3 linked regions of the Canis lupus familiaris genome follow. The protein of the gene in region 3 purifies or fractionates together with the protein of the main gene of each other region. This does not show direct contact. Links are inferred from orthologs where the notes say so. Each region holds a gene or a part of one and is shown on either strand. Other genes may lie near its edges.

Region 1 (3,648 bases), on a different chromosome or scaffold from region 3:
TGACTCCCCTTTGGGAACAGACTACTGATGCCAGGAGACAGAAAACATGGGCAGGGATCCCCAACATGCAGAAGTATCAACTTACATAAGACTCTAGACTCTTAAGATCTCTAGGAAATGACAAGCATGGTATTTCTCCATCTTGGTCTCTTCATTTCCAGAGATCAAAAATAAAAAGACAACTAGAAAGATGGCAACGTAGAACAGACCTTAAAAAAAAAAAAAAAAAAAAAGACACACACACACACACACACACACACACACACACGAACTAAAAAGATGAACACTTGCCCCTCCAAAAACACAAGGCTTCCTCGCCTTCATAACAGGAAGTGGTTCAGCTCTAACCTGGGTCCGAGGGCAGGGGCACACTCACCTAGTGTGTCCTTCAGATTCTTCACGAGGGAGCCTTTCTTCAGGCTGTTCTTCCTCTCCACATAGTTGGACGGCACGTAGCCCGTCCTGTTGGCCGCGTTCCTCACCCGCCACCACGTCTTGGAGTCATCCAGTAGCCATAGGCGCTCGTTTTTCTTGATGTCCAGCTCCTGGTCCTGTTGGGCAGTGTAGTCCCACTTTGCTATCACAATAACTTCCTCTGTCATCTTTCATGGAGTCCTTCTGCCAGCAAAACATTTGGAGATGCTCATTAGAGAACCAACCAAACACTTCATCCTGTGCATCAACTTGAAAAATTATGCATTGACAGCTTTTATTACAACTTGGCAACCGGTTTTCCTCTTGGGTCTTGAAATAACCTCAAAATGACCTTCTTTCAACAAGCTTTAGCATTTTGTTTAGAAACAGCAACCTAGTAAAACAGATCCTCATTTTGTACACTGGGAAATCTGCATGCTGTGCCAAAACCAGAAACAAACTTTCAAAAAAATTCTAAGTAACAATGTCATAATTAAATGTGTTCACTTGATTAAGTAACAGCAGCTCCTTGTAGCTGCTATGTTTGTATCCACCGTCTCAAGATATGCTGAGTTTTATGAACGCATTTAACGAACACACACACCCAAACTGTTCTTCTAAATTAAAACTAAAATAAATCTAGTATCCCGGATCAGCTCCTGAAACAGAAAAAGGAAATTAGCGGAAGCAATGGTGAAATCTGAATAATGGCTAGTTAACAGTAACATATACCAAGGTTCAACTCTTAGTTTTGACAACAGTACCATGGCCGTGTGACACGTTAACACCACAGGTTAAACTGAGTAAAGGAGATATGGGAATGCTCTGTACTATCTTTGCAACTTTTCTATACATATAAAATTACTCTTGAGGGGCGCCTGGATGGTTCAGTCTTGGTTAAGCATCTGCTTTCAGCTCAGGTCATGATCTCAGGGTCCTGGGATCGAGCCCCACATTGGGCTCCCTGCTCAGTGGGGAGTCTGCTTCTCCCTCTCCATCTGCCCCTTTCCCTGCTCCTTCTCTCTCTCTCCCAAATAAATAAAATCTTTAAAAAAAATAAAATAGAATTACTCTTGAATCCTGCACAGTGTTTAAAACAGCTTCATTCACACTTGGAACAATTTGGAAGTGATCAAGATGTTCTTCAGGGGGTGAATGGATAAACTGTGGTATATCCAGGTACTGGAGTATTTATTACTCAGTGATAAAAAGGAAATGAGCTATCAAGCCAGAAAAAGGGATGGAGAAACCTTACTTAAATCCTCTTCCCAGACTAGGCCTCAACACCTGTACTTCCACATTTGTCTCTGCGTGTCCCAATTTTAGCAGGAACCCTGCTGGGCTGGTTTAGCCAGAACCCTCCGCTCTTGCCCAGGCCATGTGCCCAGTCGCCTGGCCTGCCTTCCGGGAGGATCCCGTCAGGTCAGTTTAGTCAGAGTCCCTCCTTTACCCGATGTTCGCTCTCAGTGACTGCATTCATCTGTGGCCTACCTTACTCCTTGGCTATAAACTCCCATTTTTCCTTCTTCTATTTAGAATTGAGCCCAAATGCAACCCCACCGTAGTCACGCCTCTCAGTTAAGTCTGCCTTACCCTTCTTTAAACAATGTCATGAATAATTTTTTTCTTTAACAATGCCAACTATATGACATTCTGCAAAAAGCAAAACTATGGAGACAGTAAAAAGATCAGTGGTTGCCAGGGGCAGGGGAGGAGGGTGGGATGAACAGGTGGAGCATAAGATTTTTAAAGTAGTGAAACTGCTCTGGATGATACTTTAATAGTGGATACACGTCATTACACATTTGTTGAGACCCATAAAATATCAAGAGTGAACCATATATAAAATCATCCCAAAATATCAAGTTTATTAAAACAACAAGAAATAAATATAGTATATTATACATCTAGTTAAGTCAGTTTTTGAAGTAATATATAGCAAAGGCGTATCTGAATGACTAAACTGAATACAGTTATCAACAACGTCAGCAGCTCCATACTTTTTAGGTATAAGATGGCTCAGTATTTTTTCCAGCAGAAAAATTCGATATCCAGTCCTTCAACTGAGTCAGTTTCCTTAAAACTTGAAAGGAAGGGATACTGGAAAGACTCTTGACTAACACCCTCTTTCTTCCTCTCTGACAGAGACGATTTCTCACTACTTTCTAGGGATGACTTCAGGATTATAGAGAGAACCAATGCACGCTGATGCCATGGAGGCATGAATACCATTTTTAAATAACATGACACTTTCTACTAGATGCTAAAGAGACTTATAAATAATACATGTTCTCCTGTTTCTTGAATTAACTTCCAACTGTAGAGATAACAAACCTTTTGGGAAGGAGGAAATATTTAATAAACCTCATGCATAATGTATGCAACATCTAAGAGGACAGAGTTTATACAATGCTCATTTTCAAACTGTAGACCATTTTGTTACATACTATTGGAGATCTCCAGTCCATACTTGTATCTCTCTCTCTCCAGACTTTTCTGTTAGGGTTAAACTTTTCAAAGTCATAAAGGCCATTTTTCTTTTCTTTTTTTAATAATAATGAGAGCAGTAATAGGACTGGGGCTCAGAGAATATTCCATTTGAATACCAGGTTTATTTCTTAATTACAGAGTTTTCAAGACTTTTTAACAAGACCAGCCCATCGCATAAGACCAATCGGAGCAATTTATTACTTTCCTGCGTGACTTAACTGCATGAACAGTTGTTAGGTAAGGAGCTAGCTGGGCAGGGTGTGCTTCAGAGTACATCATGTGGGAACATCATGTGGGAGCTTAAACAAATATGGTGCCTAGGCTCTACCACAGACCAAATATATCACAATCTTAAGGAGTGAGGTCTGAGCAGCAGGTGTTTACAGTTCATCTTTCTGACAGGCCTTAGGAGGGAAAAACCAAGTAAGGGGGATCTGAGTCACAGAATGCCACCTCAGGATGCTTTCCTTGGGTCCTTAGACCTTGGACTATAATGAAAATTTTGAGTGTGTCTTGGGTACCTGAACATGTCAACCTGTTTAATCTCCAGAACATTCACCTTTCAGGGAGGTGTTATCTTTTAGGAAACTGAGGATCACAGAGATTAAGCGACGAGCTGAATGACAGAATCAGGATTTGGGCCCAGATCTGTTGACTCCCAAATCTATGCTTATGTGCCCACTTCTGTGGGTGCCTAGGTGAGGGTCTACTGTGTGATCTATATTTTGATGGGCTTATTCCAAC
Region 2 (3,648 bases), on a different chromosome or scaffold from region 3:
ATCTAAAAGAATGAATAATTGATACACTGACAATGGATGAATCTCACAGACATTATGTTGAGTGAAGGAAGCCAGACAAGAGAGATTTCATACTTGTATGATTCCGTTTTATATTAGGTATGACTAAATGATGATAATTGGAATAATCATCTCTGGGGAAAGGTATTGACTGATCATGACCCAATGGTATATTGTAATACTGCATTTCAGGAGCACTGATCTAGGGATTTATTATTCTCTCTTTGAATCCAATAAAGCCTTCAATAGCTTGGTCCTTTCCCAGATCACTTTTACTGGGCTATACTTTGGGCCACACCCCCAACTATTAAAGAAGACCATTTTGGAGAAAACACTGTATGAAAACTGCATCTACATTTTCAGCAAAATTGTTATGGAAAACAATTCATTATGTAACTCAGAGCCTCTTAACTAAAAATGATTTTTCTTACATTTAGTAGTAAAAAGGCTTTGTGTCTTGAGGATGTTATGTTTTTCCATTTGATAAGAAATATAGAAGCTATCACATTTCCTTTCTGTCCTAGTCACCAGGAAACTGAGAACCAAATTTGATGTTTAAACAAACCTAACTCAGATGATTAGCGTATTTGATCTTCTGCCATTCTTATAAGTCCTTTTTATTAATCATATTGTATATTATATAGGCACATATAGGTATATATACACATTCATTGTTGGAAGTTGCTTCATGTTCTTTTCGGACAGAGACAGGATATAAAAAGGCACTGAAAACAAGAAATTAATATGAAAGATTCAAGTAAAAGATTTTGACTAAATCGTAAAGATACAAATTCTAACACAATACCCTAGGTATTTTTGTCCATACATGTGTTCCCACAGGAGAAACAGATGTGAAGCTTTTGTGATTTAAGATACCACCCCCCCAAAAAAGATACCCAAAATCATGGTTTTGAATATTTACAATGTACAGTAACAAGTTTAAGAGCCATTGTTAACAAATCACATGTTTCTGTAACTTCCCTCTGGGTTGAGAAAGCAGCGTGATCCAAGATCCACCTGGGAGGCCTCAGTTTCCTACTCCGTATAATAAAGTATAAGAGATAAGCCCTAAAGCCCTTTCAGTTCTAGCACTGTCTGAGACAAAAGAGCAGTGGCCAAGAGCATATACACTTGAGAGCCAAATAGACATGGGTTAAAACCCTGAGTCCGGGATCCCTGGGCGGCCCAACGGTTTAGCGTCTGCCTTCGGCCCAGGGCATGATCCTGGATCCCGGGATCGAGTCCCACATCAGGCTCCCTGCATGGAACCTGCTTCTCCCTCTGCCTGTGTCTCTGCCTGTGTCTCTGTGCTTCTCATGAATAAATAAATAAAATCTTAAAAAAAAAAAAACAAAAAACACCCTGGGTCCACTGCATATTAGCTACATAATCATGGAAAAGTCACCAAACACTTGAAACCTCACTTGCCCACCTATAAAAATGGGAATAGTAGAACCTATAAATCACAGGGTGGTCATAAAGAACAGATGAAAATATAAAGCACTCAGTGCCTACAGTGTGGTAAAGATTCAATATAATGCATTTATTGTTACTTAGGTGTCACAGGAAGAAAACTCTAGAGGGCACTAATCTTTCAATTATAATTTGGTACCTAATTAACAATATCTTCACCAATTATAGGCTTAGAGTACTATCTGAATTATTTTCCCATGCCTAGGATTTCCAGAGCAAATCGCATATGGAAGGCAAAGGGAACCTACATGGTATTGCCTGATACAAGGTATTTTCAGTCCCAAAGAATCCTAGAGACTAATGGGTTACAGTTGGTAGAGCCCAAATCTCAAATCTAATGGACCAGTGCTCTGTAAATCCATAACCTTGACTACAAAGAGATGTTAAATATGTTCTAGAAGGTAGCATTTCAGTGAAAGTGAATACTTTTAAGTAATTTCATTCAATTCAATAAATATTTTCTGAATACCTTTTCTAAGGTCCTAGGTATAAGAGGAGACCCAGAAATTAAAAAGATAGAAGTTATAATCTAGTGGGAAAGACAGAGTCATTCGTAACTAACTTTAACACAGTAGGTATGCCCTGCCTTGCTAACTTGCTCTTGGTCCTCATAATAAAGTAACCAACTATGCATGCCTACAGATTAATCACCATCATAAAGCTGAATGTGATACTTGTGTGGTGGCCTGCTAAAAGCAGTTTTTGCAACCGTGTGAAATAATTATGTAATTTCAGGACTAAGCAGGTGGAAGTATAAAAAGCTTGGTAAACCCGCGACTCCAGGGTCCCCAAAACTCTAATTCAGGCAAAACAAAAGAAGTGCTGATGAAAGTTACAGGCAAAGTTCAACAGGAGCTCAAAAAGTAGATTTTTAAGCTAAGTCTATGAACATGTACAGAATTTAACAGACTGAGGAAGAGCCTCAGGGAATAATATGAACAAAGGTCCAGAGATAAAGGCAGTTAGGGAACTAGGAATATAAATTGAGTGTGGGAAGTGTAGGAAAGAAGCCTACTAGTGCCTTACAGACAAAAATGAAGCAAAAAAGTCTTGGTTTAGTGATCTCTTGAATTTGGAGCTTCCCTGCATAGAGACAATTACCTGCAGCAGCTCTTTAGCTGAACCTCTCTTCTCCACATCCATCTCAAGACAGCGGTTCAGAAAGTCCCGGAAGAAAGCTGACAGCTTCTCTGGGTTCTGAAGCTCTGGGGTCCCATTGGTGGCAATGAGGTACAAGGCCTGGCAATACAAATGGGAGAATCACCTTAAGCTCTAGCGGGAGTTCTTAAGTGCCTAGACCTGTCCTCTAGAAAGATGGTCAGCTGCTTTATGCCTTTAGGACACAAAGAGTAGCTTTGGTATACTGGAAAGAAAACGACCTAAGGATCAGAGTTAACATTTAAAAGGCCATGTGACCACATGCAAGCCAGTGAACTTCCAAATTCCTCATCTGTAAAATAGGGATGAGAATAGTAACCTATCTTACAGGTCTGTAAAAATAAAACAAGATAGTATTTTGGAAAGCACTTATAAACTTATAAAGTGTGTTCCAGACCCATGGGTTTATTATTATTCTTGATTATAGATCTAAAGGATTTATTATTCACTTATTCACTTAGCCTGGTTAGTTAAACACCTATCTGCCACTTGCTGGAGGAAATTACTCCTGATGTCTTCACCTTAGTCACCTAAGAACTGTTTTCTTCTAATAAGAGAGGAATATAAAAATAAAGTGTTCCATAAAGCAACAATATGTTTCCCTGTTACCTCCCTGTCCCCTAACATGAACAATCTTATGAGACAGGTGATTTTTTTTTAAAAAAGCACTCAGCACTTTAATTCATAAAGTATTTACACAAACACTATCTCATTTAAAGACCACAATAAATATGAATAATAGACCAGGCAAGAATCATCATCCTCATTTCACAGATAAAGTCCAGAAACATGAAGAAATATGCCTGGGACCAAGTTATTCATATGAGCTTATGTCCTCTGATTCTAATGTGATTCCAGTTTTATTTCTATCACACCCTACTGATCATCATCTTCAATAGGCCACTGTAAGATGGGGCAAGATGGTATGTAGAATCAGAGGGCAAAGCTGGGACCTTTGGGCAGTTTCAGTTTGGTACACTGAAGCACTTTCCAATAATC
Region 3 (4,159 bases):
TGAGCTGGGAACCTGAGCACTTTTTCAGTATCTCTGTGTCTGAGATTTTCTCATCCGTAAAATGGGTTTAAGTGATGTCAAGATGAAAGGAATTAGTTCAGGCAAAGTGTTTACAACAGTGTCTGGCACTGAAAGGCTCAGTATGTATTAGCTATTGCTGTTATTGTTGTTGTAGCATCAGTATTCATGTTAATAGTATGTGCTGCTTCTGAAACCACACTGTGAACCCTGAGGAGCCTCCGTGTCCTGACTAGACCCAGAGAGGCTTCCGTGTTGTCTGAATGGACTGTTTGCTAAATGTAGGAGGAAGGCAGAGAGGAAGAAGTCAGAGGTAAATGGAATTGCCCCCCCCCGCCCCCGTCTCCTCCCTGCCCTGATGCTTTAATGTAGCCAAATTACATTTGAGTAAAATAAAAGAAGAATTTGGGTCTAAAATCAATTTGCCGGTTCATGGCGTACCAAACGAGCATTAACACTGGATCTGGTATCATTTTGCTCCCAAATGATATAAATTATTTTAGGTGGGCTAAATAACGATGGGCTTAGCTAGACTTCAAAAAGTTGCCTTTTAATTCAGTCTCTTGCAAACGTGTCCCCAGGACACCCCCAGGACACCTTGTGGCCAGCAAGGGGCCCCACAGCACCGGCGGCGGCCGAGAAGGGGAGGCGGGAGCCAGGGGAACAGGAGCAAGCCCCGGCTTCCCGGCCGCGGGGGCGCAATGAAGCGGAACCGCTCCGGCCGCTCCGGCGCTGGTGTCGGTCTCGGGCGCGGGTCTCGGGCGCCGGCTCCTCCAGGCGCCGCGCCCCACCACCGGCTTTCGGGGTTTGCCGCCCGTCCGCCAGCCCCGCGGCGGGTGCTGGGACCCGGAGCCCGCGTGGGCGCTCCCCTCCTGCCCGGCGTAGCACCGCCTCCGGCCCGGGTGCAGGGGCCCGGCGCGCAGGCGGGGGGCGCTGTGGCCTCGGCGCGGGGACAGAGCGGCCGGGCCGGATCCGCCTCTTTCCCCTCCCCGCCCGCCCCCCACGCGTCGTGTCGCCGGGAAGCCGGGAGGAGACAGAGCGCGCTCGGGCTCCACGGCGCTCGGCCCGCAGTCCTCCGGCAGCGCCGAGCCGAGCCAGGTGGCGCCGCCCGAGCCGCGAGCCGCGAGCCCCCGGGCCGCCTTTGTCTGGGAGCGTGAGGCCTGGAAGCGCCGCTCTCGGGGGCCGGGCACGCGCCCGCAGCGGTCGCTGACAGCTCTTCCCTCCCGCGGGGCTCCGGGTCGGAGGGGCGGTCGGGCCGGGCCCTGCTCGCCCGCGCCTGCACGCCCGAGCGCGCGCACCGATGCCCCCGCAGCAGGGGGACCCCGCGTTCCCCGGCCGCTGCGAGGCGCCGCCCGTTCCGCCGCGCCGGGAGCGCGGGGCGCGCGGGGGGCGCGGGCCCGGGGCGCCGGGGGGCCGGGGGCGCGCGGGCGGTGCGGAGGGGCGCGGCGTCAAGTGCGTGCTAGTCGGCGACGGCGCGGTGGGCAAGACCAGCCTGGTGGTGAGCTACACCACCAACGGCTACCCCACCGAGTACATCCCCACCGCCTTCGACAACTTCTCGGGTGAGCGGGGCCGGGGGCCGGGGGCGCGGTGCTGGCGGCCCGGTGCCGGCGGGAGGGAGCGTCGCGCGAGGGTCGCGGGCCCCGATGGGAAGCGGACCGGGCCGTGGGGACCCGGCGAGCGCGGAGCCACCTGCAGGACCGCGGGGCAGCCGGGAGCCCCCGAACCCGAGCCCGGCGGAGGGGGCGGGGTACGGGGACCGAGCCTGTGCGAAAAGAAATGATGCGGCAATTTAATAACAAATAGGTCGAGTTCAGGAAGCCTGGTCAGTTTGCTGCGTAGCAAAGTTGCGTCAGGTCGACGCTGCTGGCGCCGCTGCAGAGTTTCACCGGGAAGGTGACGCGCAGGTGCCATTACCTGTGGCCCTGGGAGTCGGTCCTTTCCTTTCGGCGGCTCCGCTCACAAGGGGCGTCTCCACTTTGAAGAGCCACAGAGACGGCAGGAAAGACTTGATTTAGTGAAAACGGCGCTACGGGCTTAGGTTTGGATTAAACCCTGAGAATAAACGCGATTTCTCCAGCGTGCCTCTCCCCTGCGCCCACTGCTCCGACTTCCATCTCCCCCGTTGGCCCTGTTTCTGATTCTTGATATTTTTTTCAGCGTCTCTTTAAGCTCTTACGTATGGTGTGCTGTGTTTTGGTTTGGTGGAAACAAAGATAAAGGATTTTTTTCAGGTCTTTTTGAAATTTATTAGAAAGGACTAGTAAAGGTAAAGTACGAGTCTCCCACAGAGGCTAATGGAAAGCATTCTCTCTTGCTCTTAAAAGAAAAGAAAAAAAAAAAGCTTCTTGACCTTTTAGAGAGTCCTGATGGCAAGCGCTTCATTTCTTCCATCTCGAAGGTACCCTGGAGAAAACTGCTACACTAATGGGGTTCCACCCAAATGGTTCTGTTTTTCACCCCTTTTCCCTTCCAGCTGACTATTGTAAACATGAAAAGCAATTTAGAAAGTTGTACTGAGACAAACCTGAGTGCTTAAATTCAAGTAGAAACATCCAGGCTGTGCCCTGATGCAAGCCCCTGCCCAGTACCCCATCCTAGTGGAAAGGTGGGCAGGCTTTCTCTTCTTTTCTGTTTTAATCCTCTCTTTGAGCTGACATGGTGAGATAAGCAGTGCCCTCTTCTATAAACAGGACAATGCAGGCAGCCTGTGTTTGCTCATGTTCTCAAAACAAGCTACAATTTTATGATAAACCATGAAGTCTTGGAACTCTTCCCAAGGGAAAACAGAATTATTTGTGAGGTTTTCCACTGAGTTAAAACGGCAAGGTTGGTTCCCATTTACCCCCTAGTGTTGTTTTTAGGTTTTTTGAACCGAGTGTGACAGGAAAATAAATCTTCCGGGGCTGGGCTAAAAGTACAGGTCTTTCTGGGGTGCCATCAAACGGCTAAGGGATTTGCAGCTTCAGCCCTGACAGGGTAGGGAATTGCCAGCCCTGGAGGGTTTGTAGACAAAAATGCCTCCTTGGGGCCTCCTTGTTTTAGGCAAGTCTTTAATTCGTGAGGAAACCCAGAATAACTGAAAGGTTTGGAGGGAGAATGGTAGTTCCCAGCTATAACTTTTTTTTTTTTTCTTCCTGAAACGGGTTAAAAGGCACACTTTGATAATTGTTTTCACTTTACTTTTAAGCTGTGGTGTCTGTGGACGGCCGGCCTGTGAGACTCCAGCTCTGTGACACTGCCGGACAGGTTAGTGGATTGGCTGGGAAGGGACTGGCCATTTAGAGGCCTCAGAATAACTACGCTCTATAACTGGGTCATTCTAAAGCCTCATGAAGTGGCCCCAGCCCTGCCCCTCTCAGGGGGTGGCAGTGAGGTGGGGAGATGGCTCTGCCCTCATAAAACAGGGTTTAGTCCAGCTTTGCATGGACAGGATAGGGAACAAAGGATCAAGAATAGGAATTCTTATGGAGTTTCTGATCTTATTTACTTTCTCGTTTTTATTAAAAAATTATCAGTGATGCTTTGTGATCATTTCTTCAAGTAAGTTGGTGATAGAATCATTTTGTTAGAAGTCAACAAGCCAAATATTAAATTTGCTCAAGAGAAAAATGGAGGTTTTTAAAGAGATTTTATTTATTTTAGAGAGAGAGAGAGAAAGAGCGTGGTGGGGGAGGCAGAGGGAGAGAGAGAGAGAGCTTCAAGCTGACTCCATGCTGTGTGTGGAGTCTGACACAGGGCTCGATCCCACGACCCTGAGATCATGACCTGAGCTGAAACCAAGAACCAGACATGCTCAGCCAACTGTACCATCTGGGGGTCCCCCTGAAAAAGATGGAGTTTGTGTCAGTGGGTGTTAATATTTCCCTCCCTATGCTGTGGTTTCCTCACTAGGGCCACCCCGTCCTTTGAAGCAGAGATACAGTGGCGAAGCTGTCCTGAGCTAGGGCAGTGAATGAACCTGGACTTAGTCTTTCCAAATCGTGAACATTTATTCTTGTCTTGGGGGTCAGGCACTTGGATGAGACACCCAGGGAGTGACGGGGATGGGGGTATTCCTCGACGAGCTCCAGGGACCCTTGGCACAGTGCTCATCACTGAGATCTCCTTGTTCTCTGTGAGAACCCACGGTGCCATCTCT

Evidence for each region.
Region 1: the proteins of RHOU (region 3) and NCK2 purify together in Homo sapiens (co-immunoprecipitation; 3 studies listed by BioGRID and IntAct, with this or other methods). This does not show direct contact. The link is inferred for Canis lupus familiaris from reciprocal best matches to the Homo sapiens genes RHOU and NCK2.
Region 2: the proteins of RHOU (region 3) and PAK1 purify together in Homo sapiens (co-immunoprecipitation; 5 studies listed by BioGRID and IntAct, with this or other methods). This does not show direct contact. The link is inferred for Canis lupus familiaris from reciprocal best matches to the Homo sapiens genes RHOU and PAK1.

The regions. Positions count from the first base shown.
Region 1 is NC_049231.1:38,675,447-38,679,094, forward strand, and holds part of NCK2 (cytoplasmic protein NCK2), read right to left. Parts: intron 619-3,648; 5' UTR 603-618; coding exon 377-602; intron 1-376. UniProt on the Homo sapiens protein: Adapter protein which associates with tyrosine-phosphorylated growth factor receptors or their cellular substrates. Maintains low levels of EIF2S1 phosphorylation by promoting its dephosphorylation by PP1.
Region 2 is NC_049242.1:21,520,113-21,523,760, reverse strand, and holds part of PAK1 (serine/threonine-protein kinase PAK 1), read right to left. Parts: intron 2,731-3,648; coding exon 2,593-2,730; intron 1-2,592. UniProt on the Homo sapiens protein: Protein kinase involved in intracellular signaling pathways downstream of integrins and receptor-type kinases that plays an important role in cytoskeleton dynamics, in cell adhesion, migration, proliferation, apoptosis, mitosis, and in vesicle-mediated transport processes.
Region 3 is NC_049225.1:10,804,832-10,808,990, reverse strand, and holds the start of RHOU (rho-related GTP-binding protein RhoU), read left to right. Parts: upstream 1-1,318; coding exon 1,319-1,580; intron 1,581-3,208; coding exon 3,209-3,267; intron 3,268-4,159. UniProt on the Homo sapiens protein: Binds to and activates protein kinase PAK1. Plays a role in the regulation of cell morphology, cytoskeletal organization and focal adhesion assembly during cell migration. Also stimulates quiescent cells to reenter the cell cycle.